Linked DNA regions of Xenopus tropicalis. The protein of the gene in region 2 interacts with the protein of the main gene of each other region in a biochemical or structural test. Links are inferred from orthologs where the notes say so. Each region holds a gene or a part of one and is shown on either strand. Other genes may lie near its edges. The genes, in order: ube2w and rnf4.

Region 1 (4,564 bases), on a different chromosome or scaffold from region 2:
AGTAAATAGAAGCCAATTCTTCCATTAATACATCCATTTAAGTGCTGTGTACCAATACTACTTACATACTATGCCTTTGTAACACAGGTAAGAGGTGATTAAATAAAATTACAGACCTTCAAAAATCCTTCTCTTTAAAGGCTGGGTGGTGGCACTGTGTGTTTACTCTAATGGCTACAATATTTAGAGCATATCAAGTCTTATATGTTTCAATTTTTACATTTTTATTTTGTAGTTATGTTGCTCTTGCTTTTCTAAATCTAGTTACTGTGATGTTTATTAACAAAGGCTAAGTGCCTACCGTACCAATATTGTAAGTGGATAATCTCCTTTTAAGAACCAAGAAAGGTTTGGTGTACTGGCCAGAAGCATACAAACTATACAAAGCATAGTGTCCCGGGAAATCAGCTGGGTTATCTTTTCTAGACACTGGTCCTGACTGGCCCTCTTGTTGGTTGAAACATGTCTATTCGGCTTTAAGCCAAATTCTGCACATCACAATAAACATTTTTTATTTACACTACAAGATACTTACAACATATTCTACCTACATGACTAACTTTATTTAACTCAAAACCTTGAAAAAGTAAAAGCATTAACTCCCACATAAAAGGATCAGGAAAATCACCTGTGTTTGGGGCCCGGAGGAGGAAAAGCCTGTATGCTAGTTCTGTCATTTACCAAGAGCCTTCAGCACAACCTCTACCATTACAACACTGTTCGGCAGGAAACATTTATTAAAAGGGACATATAAAGTACTGATCACTGTTTTATCAGATGCCCTTTTCCTTATAATATATGGCACCTGAGCTGAAGGGGTAACTATAGTGAAAATTATAATGTAATATAAACTACAAAGAATATATTGTTTTAATTCATTTTAACTGTTAAAGATACTTTCTATATTGAAAGGTACACAGATCAATGCACAAACTTACTTTAGATACAAGTAAGTAGTATCCTTGAGATCAAAAGAGATCATTAATTAAACTTGATATAGAAAGAATATGATCAAATAAATGACATTATCAAGAAGTCAATATGACAAGAAAGGTAATTTGCATTAAAGCGGTATTAAACACCAACCTTAAATAATTATATGGATAATGTACCAGGTTTATCAATGACTAAGCTTCCAAATAATTTAATAATAAGGGTAAACAGGTAATGTCTCCTTCCAACTAGAACAGACTATTCCAACTGACTGTCAAGTATATAATTTCCAAGTGTATGAGCTGCCACTTGACTATCCAGGGTGTTTCAAACCCATGGAATTTTCAATTGACTATAACGCAATGAGGTTCTTAGCAATTCTAAATATTTTGTTACCATAACTACTGCAGTGAACAGTCTCACAGGTCAATCCAATATGGTATCCAAATGAATCAAACAATAGGCGCTCAGACGCTCAAGCCTTACTGCTTTGCAGGCTTGGCGCATCGATCCCCAAAAGGTGGAGCCGTTTATTCACATAATCTTAATAATGAAGAGGAGATCACAACAGGCACAATAACTGCTTAATGAATTTATTTATGTCTATTACAGAACGTAATATGTGATAAACAGCACACAGGGGCCTTGTAACAGACATTAATAGATTCACTAAAGTTATTCTGTCCATAGAGCTCTTCTCTACATTATTAAGATGGTATCCAAAATATCAGCCAAACAGTCAGATAGCTGTATAAGGGGGTCATAGATGTAACTGCTACCTTTCTCTTCCTCTGCTCGGAACATCAGTAAGTTAAGAGGAACTCTGGCTCTTCATCTATGCACCATACACCGGCCAACTTGATGCATCGGCATATGAAACTTTCCAACCTCCGATGAAAGAACCAGTTGATAGCCATGATACATAGATACCAGTCAGGGCTGCATACACGTACTGATAATCCCACAAATCAGTGTAAGAATCAAAATACAGGACAGATCATGTCTAATAAATGTCAAACAACCATAATATTTATTTTATGGCCCTACATGGAGAAAACAAGGTAAGTGAAAAACAAAGTCAATTTTTGCACAAAGTATAAAGAGGAAGTAAAATAACAATCCCAATGATACACAGGAGTAAAGGGAAAATGCCGGCTTGTTCTGTCTTTTTGGAAAGGATTTGAATAAACTGGATAATTACTGCCCAAGTAAAAGAACTGGAACATAACAGGGACTTAATGTCCTACACAGGGGGAAGGGGATGCAGTATAACCAGGCATTTCCTACCCTACACAATAAAATGGAACATGCTGGGTGATTCATATCCCACACAATAAAATGGAATATGCTGGCTGATCCCTGCCCTACACATAATAGCAGCCAGTTCCTGCCCCAGATTCAGCTATAAAATAAAGTACTTATAGAAGCCCTGACCCACCGCACAGAACGTTGAAGGTACAGAGGAGAATATGTAATGTTCCCAATGAGCTGTCAAGCCTATGGGTCTCCAGCTATTATCAAACTACAATTCCCAGAAGCTACGGCAGGCAAGGCTATCGATAGGAAGGGGGGGTGTAAAGTTAGCAGGCTGGCACACCGAGCGTCGCACCTCCCACACCAGCTATACAGGTGAGCTGCCAAGCCGCATCCCCACGGAGACAAGGGGAGCCGTTCTGAGCGGAAGGTTCCCTGAAGCTGGCAGGTAATTGCAGAGGACACAGATAGGGAAGCCAGAAAAGAATGTCAGGAGTAACGAGAAGCAGAAACAAACCCACAAACCACGGCTGGCAGTGCTCTCCATAGAGCCCACTTCCCACTCCCGGTAATATTCCGCTGCCAGCCGCGAAGATCCGGGTCGCTCCGCTTAAAACTCTAATAACACTCACCTGCATTGACGCCATGATGGAAACCCACCCCCTCCCTCTTGGGCGACGCTACCGCTCACGTGACTCTACGTCATCTACAAGGAACTGCCTGCGCCCTTGTGAGAGTAAAGCTGCGCAGGCGCACTGGCTCAGCGCTTGTCCTTCTGGGCATGCGCAGTGCGGCATTAAAGGCAAATATAGTCTGTGTGTGCAGGACATGGACTTGTAGTGATTGTTTCGCTGCAACCTGAGCTTGTGTTAAGCTGGCCATACACGTGGCGATATGAGGATGATGGTCGCACAAAACATCGTCAGATCCGCCACACACAGTCAGGGCTGAAACAGCAGATAAGGAGGTAGAAACAATAGGATTTCTACCTCCTTCTGCCGATTCAGCCCTGACCGCAGATTTTGCTCAGGCGCCTTCTATGGTGCCCGATCAAAATTTTCTAACCTGGCCGATCGGCGAGTTGTCCGATATCAGCAGCTTCCTGCGATATCGGTTGACATGCCGACATGCCATACACGCACCGAATATCGTACGAAACCTCGTTTCGTACGTTAGTATCGGTGCGTGTATGGCCAGCTTTAGAGCGCTGTTAGGTTTAGTCACTGCACAGAAGAAGAGTTGTTGCTTAATGACTGCTTCAGTCAAAAGGAAATAGGTCAGTGTAACTCAATCATTTCTGACAGGGATAATTTATGTAGCCGCTATTTGGCTATAAAATAGTCAAACCCAGGCTAGTATAGGTATTAGAGCATGGGCTACATGTGACTCTCTTAAACAGGATGGGCCTTTGCTAGATGGAAGTGACCAGCAGAGCTAGGGTGTAGTATAACTACAACTCACTGTAGCTGTCTGCAATGCAATTTAGTAAAGATAGACGCAGGTTCTTGCAGTTAAACTATAGCACAGATTTATTGTCAAAGACAAGTAGCAATGCAGGGTTAGATCAAATACTCACCAACAGATGGTATACGATAGTAATACTCTGAGGACAGAACAGCTGTTTATCCCACCTCCTTTAGAGTCTGGGCAGGGTAAATGCACCTGGTCAGCTTGGCACCCCTTTGGAAGCAGTCAGGATAGATACCTCAGTCCTCAGTTTTTTTAACCTGTTTTCTGCTGAGATCTTAATGACGTATCTGTGGTTAATTTAGTGTTACATTTTCTGCGATTATATTACTGGCATGTCTGAGTTTAAGGCAGTTTTTCGAATCCATTTTCTGAAGTGATCTTTCTGGCATGTCTGAGGGTCTAATGCAGTTCTTTGAAACCATTTACTGCAGTGATCTTATTAGCATATCTGGGGTTATTTAAATGCATATAATCTATTAACGTCAGTGATCTTACTGAAATATCAGATGTTTGTTTAGTGTTCATAATCATTTTCAGTTGTGCAGTGCTTCTTAAGTCTAAAGGGTGCTGTGTATGGCAATGAGGATGTGGTCTTATTTATAGGGCCCTAAGCTTCACAAAGTGGCAGCATGCTTATGCAATAATCCTCTATAAAGCGTTATCATTTGCATCATCTTCTGATATGTGCTGCTGAGTAGATGTGGATGCGCAAATTAGTGACATGCATGTGCAATAACATTATATCCCAATATCCCATACATAACATGCGACTCTTCTACCCTGTTGCCTTAGTTTTTTTACCTTTCTTTCTTTAAAGGAGAAGGAAAGGCTAAAATGTTGGGACCCCCAAGTGACTTTAATCGCTTACCTTGTACCCGGGCTGGTGCCCCTGTTAGGAGGAAACAGC
Region 2 (4,474 bases):
ACCCTCCACTTGCATAGAAATCGCCCCTTTGCGCAAGATTACATTGTAACCTGTCAATTTGAGCACCTGAATTTTCTCATGCACATTATAAGCTGGTTTACTGTTTGACACTAACTGCCAGTATCCAGAGACCTTTACCACCTTTGCTTATGTCTCACTGCTGATTTCTTTTTAGATTGTAAGCTCTCTGGATAAGGGTTGGCACTTCAATTGCAGTTGTTTATACAGTTAAATACTTTATTTCAGCTGCAACCAATGAATGAATCACCAACAGGTTTCTCCTTCTCTAATTGGCAGATTCTAGCATGAGTCAGAAATTTTCAATGTTCTACTGGTTGTAAGGAAAATGAACTATGTATTTCAAAGACTACAAAAATGAATAAATAAAAGCTATTTGTGCATAAGAATTACTAATCATTGACTACAATTTGGAAGGGGAAATGTTTATTATAATAGCAGCAGCAGTACCGCTATAACTTCTGTGAAAAGATGGAGGTATATTAATAATATCAAATACTGCCTACGAGATAAAGAAACATATAATAATGGGGCTGTCACACAAGTAGGAGGAATTTTGGTGACAGCTGTGCATAGGTGGCTTCCAGTGACTGGCCCAATGTCACATTCAATAAGTGCTGTCCAACTCTATGTAGCGTGCCTACTACATTTTTAAAAGCCACAGCATCATTCCTGTCACTGGCTTCTGCTCCCCAATGGGGCCCACATTATGGTCAGTGGATTCCATGTGTACCTCTCTCTGTGCCCTCTTCCTCTCAGTGAGCTGCACATTTCCCTCAGTAGGCTCTGCCCCCCATGTGTCCGGCTGTGCTGCGTCTCCCTCTCCTGTCAGTAGGCTCTGCCCCCCATGTGTCCGGCTGTGCTGCGTCTCCCTCTCCCGTCAGTAGGCTCTGCCCCCCATGTGTCCGGCTGTGCTGCGTCTCCCTCTCCCGTCAGTAGGCTCTGCCCCCCATGTGTCTGGCTGTGCTGCGTCTCCCTCTCCCGTCAGTAGGCTCTGCCCCCCATGTGTCTGGCTGTGCTGCGTCTCCCTCTCCCGTCAGTAGGCTCTGCCCCCCACGTGTCCGGTTGTGCTGCGTCTCCCTCTCCCGTCAGTAGGCTCTGCCCCCCATGTGTCCGGCTGTGCTGCGTCTCCCTCTCCTATCAGTGCCCATGGGGCCCTCTCTCCTGGCAGTGGGCTCTAGCCCCCCCATGGGGCCCTCTCTCCTGGCAGTGGGCTCTAGCCCCCCCATGGGGCCCTCTCTCCTGGCAGTGGGCTCTAGCCCGCCCATGGGGCCCTCTCTCTCTCCTGGCAGTGGGCTCTAGCCCCCCCATGGGGCCCTCTCTCTCCTGGCAGTGGGCTCTAGCCCGCCCATGGGGCCCTCTCTCTCCTGGCAGTGGGCTCTAGCCCGCCCATGGGGCCCTCTCTCTCCTGGCAGTGGGCTCTAGCCCGCCCATGGGGCCCTCTCTCTCTCGGCAGTGGGCTCTAGCCCGCCCATGGGGCCCTCTCTCTCTCCTGGCAGTGGGCTCTAGCCCGCCCATGGGGCCCTCTCTCTCTCCTGGCAGTGGGCTCTAGCCCGCCCATGGGGCCCTCTCTCTCTCCTGGCAGTGGGCTCTAGCCCGCCCATGGGGCCCTCTCTCTCTCCTGGCAGTGGGCTCTAGCCCGCCCATGGGGCCCTCTCTCCTGGCAGTGGGCTCTAGCCTGCCCATGGGGCCCTCTCTCCCGGCAGTGGGCTCTAGCCTGCCCATGGGGCCCTCTCTCCCGGCAGTGGGCTCTAGCCCCCCCATGGGGCCCTCTCTCCTGGCAGTGGGCTCTAGCCCCCCCATGTGGCCCTCTCTCCTGGCAGTGGGCTCTAGCCCCCCCATGGGGCCCTCTCTCCTGGCAGTGGGCTCTAGCCCCCCCCATGGGGCCCTCTCTCCTGGCAGTGGGCTCTAGCCCCCCCATGGGGCCCTCTCTCCTGGCAGTGGGCTCTAGCCCCCCCCATGGGGCCCTCTCTCCTGGCAGTGGGCTCTAGCCCCCCCCATGGGGCCCTCTCTCCTGGCAGTGGGCTCTAGCCCCCCCCCATGGGACCCTCTCTCCTGGCAGTGGGCTCTAGCCCCCCCATGGGGCCCTCTCTCCTGGCAGTGGGCTCTAGCCCCCCCATGGGGCCCTCTCTCCTGGCAGTGGGCTCTAGCCCCCCCATGGGGCTCTCTCTCCTGGCAGTGGGCTCTAGCCCGCCCATGGGGCCCTCTCTCCTGGCAGTGGGCTCTAGCCCGCCCATGGGGCCCTCTCTCTCCTGGCAGTGGGCTCTAGCCCCCCCATGGGGCCCTCTCTCCTGGCAGTGGGCTCTAGCCCCCCCATGGGGCCCTCTCTCTCCTGGCAGTGGGCTCCAGCCCGCCCATGGGGCCCTCTCTCTCCTGGCAGTGGGCTCCAGCCCCCCCATGTGGCTCTCTCTCCTGGCAGTGGGCTCTAGCCCCCCCATGTGGCTCTCTCTCCTGGCAGTGGGCTCTAGCCCCCCCATGTGGCTCTCTCTCCTGGCAGTGGGCTCTAGCCCCCCCATGTGGCTCTCTCTCCTGGCAGTGGGCTCTAGCCCCCCCATGTGGCTCTCTCTCCTGGCAGTGGGCTCTAGCCCCCCCATGGGGCCCTCTCTCCTGGCAGTGGGCTCTAGCCCGCCCATGGGGCGCTCCTGTTGGTGGCTCTATCCCCAAAGAGACCCTGGGAGGGCTCCGGGAAACCCTCTCCTGTCAATGCTCTCTGCCCCCAGTGGGGCCCTCTCTCCTGTCAGTGAGGCCGGAGTACCCCTCTCCTGTAGGCTCTCTCGCCTGTCAGTTGGCTCTAACTCCTATGGGCCCTCTCTCCTGTCAGTGGCCTCCATGCCCCCCTCTCCAGTGCCCTTTTTGTGGGGAGCTCCCGTTTGTATCAGTTTACATACCCCCAACCGTTCCGCTTTTCCCGGGACAGTCCCGTTTGTTTCAGTCCCGCCTGCAGTCCTGGATCAAAGCTTAACAATCCCGCAAGCACAATAACAGGCAGCTTCACGGCTCCATCCGGACAACTACTGATCCAAACGGCACAAGTCTCTTCTCGCGAGAGTGTGACGTCACACAAACCTATCGAAGCGCCGGGACGCTGCGTAACCCCGCCCCCTTGTGGGAGGGGCGAGCGGCTGGATAGTTACAAACACTGGGAGGAAGTTCTCAGTGTGTCAGGTTCAAAATTGGCCACGCCCATCCCTTCCAAAAAACTGATCAGAGAAACAGGCCTAATTTAGCAGCTATAAAAAGTAGCTTTTTACAGTGTCAGTTTTACTTTTTTATGGGAAATGGCTTTGCTAAGAGCATTGTTGGTGTTTAATAAGATTTGGACATAACTGTGACAGCTGGAGTGATCTAATTCCTGTGTGAGACAGGGCGAACTCCTGGCGGAAGCGGTCTTTACTGCCCTTATGGGACCCAGGAACTGACTGGGAACTTTGTAAAAGATTACTTTTGTTCAAATTCACCCTGTCTTCTCCTAAATCAGCTCTAGTCCTGTCCCTTAAATGTGACAAATCTAATTCCTGTTAATATAAAAACATTGAGACCCTGCTGCCACTGTGACAAAAGGAGCCTAATAGCCCAAGCCTTGTTTTGGTCCATTTTACCCAGTCTTCTCCTTAAAGGAACAGTAACGCCAAAAATGAAAGTGTATAAAAGTATTTAAAATATAATGTACTGTTACCCTGCACTGGTAAAGTAGTGTATTTGCTAGAGTTACAGTACTATAGCTCATATAAATAAGCTGCTGTGTGCACTGCTGAGCTGCCTCCTATTCACAACGACAGTTCCAGTATGACTGACAGCTGGATACACCGCTGAGCTGCCTCCTCTTCACAACGACAGTTCCAGTATGACTGACAGCTGGATACACCGCTGAGCTGCCTCCTCTTAACAACGACAGTTCCAGTATGACTGACAGCTGGATACACCGCTGAGCTGCCTCCTCTTAACAACGACAGTTCCAGTATGACTGACAGCTGGATACACTGCTGAGCTGCCTCCTATTCACAACGACAGTTCCAGTATGACTGACAGCTGGATACACTGCTGAGCTGCCTCCTCTTAACAACTTTGCTGTCTTGTATAAAAAAGGGCATTGACTCAAGGGATGAGAACATAATTTTGCCCCTTTATAGGTCCCTGGTAAGGCCTCACCTTGAGTATGGGGGGCAGTTTTGGGCTCCAGTCCTTAAGAAGGATATTAATGAGCTGGAGAGAGTGCAGAGACTGCAACTAAACTGGTAAAGGGGATGGAAGGGTTAAATTATGAGGTGAGACTGTCGAGGTTGGGGTTATTTTCTCTGGAAAAGAGGCGCTTGCGAGGGGACATGATTACTCTGTACAAGTACATTAGAGGGGATTATAGGCAGTTGGGGGATGTTCTTTTTTCCCATAAAAACAATCAGCGCACCAGAGGTCACCCCTTTAGATTAGAGGAAAGGAGCTTCCATTTGAAGCAGCG

Evidence for each region.
Region 1: the proteins of rnf4 (region 2) and ube2w form a complex in vitro, tested with the Homo sapiens proteins (2 studies listed by BioGRID). The link is inferred for Xenopus tropicalis from reciprocal best matches to the Homo sapiens genes RNF4 and UBE2W.

What each region holds. Positions count from the first base shown.
Region 1 is NC_030682.2:121,373,621-121,378,184, forward strand, and holds the start of ube2w (ubiquitin-conjugating enzyme E2 W), read right to left. Parts: upstream 2,878-4,564; 5' UTR 2,835-2,877; coding exon 2,820-2,834; intron 2,783-2,819; exon of another isoform or gene 2,735-2,782; coding exon of another isoform or gene 2,705-2,734; intron 1,920-2,704; exon of another isoform or gene 1,713-1,919; intron 1-1,712. UniProt on the Homo sapiens protein: Accepts ubiquitin from the E1 complex and catalyzes its covalent attachment to other proteins.
Region 2 is NC_030677.2:21,716,982-21,721,455, reverse strand, and holds the start of rnf4 (E3 ubiquitin-protein ligase RNF4), read right to left. Parts: upstream 2,955-4,474; 5' UTR 2,907-2,954; intron 1-2,906. UniProt on the Homo sapiens protein: E3 ubiquitin-protein ligase which binds polysumoylated chains covalently attached to proteins and mediates 'Lys-6'-, 'Lys-11'-, 'Lys-48'- and 'Lys-63'-linked polyubiquitination of those substrates and their subsequent targeting to the proteasome for degradation.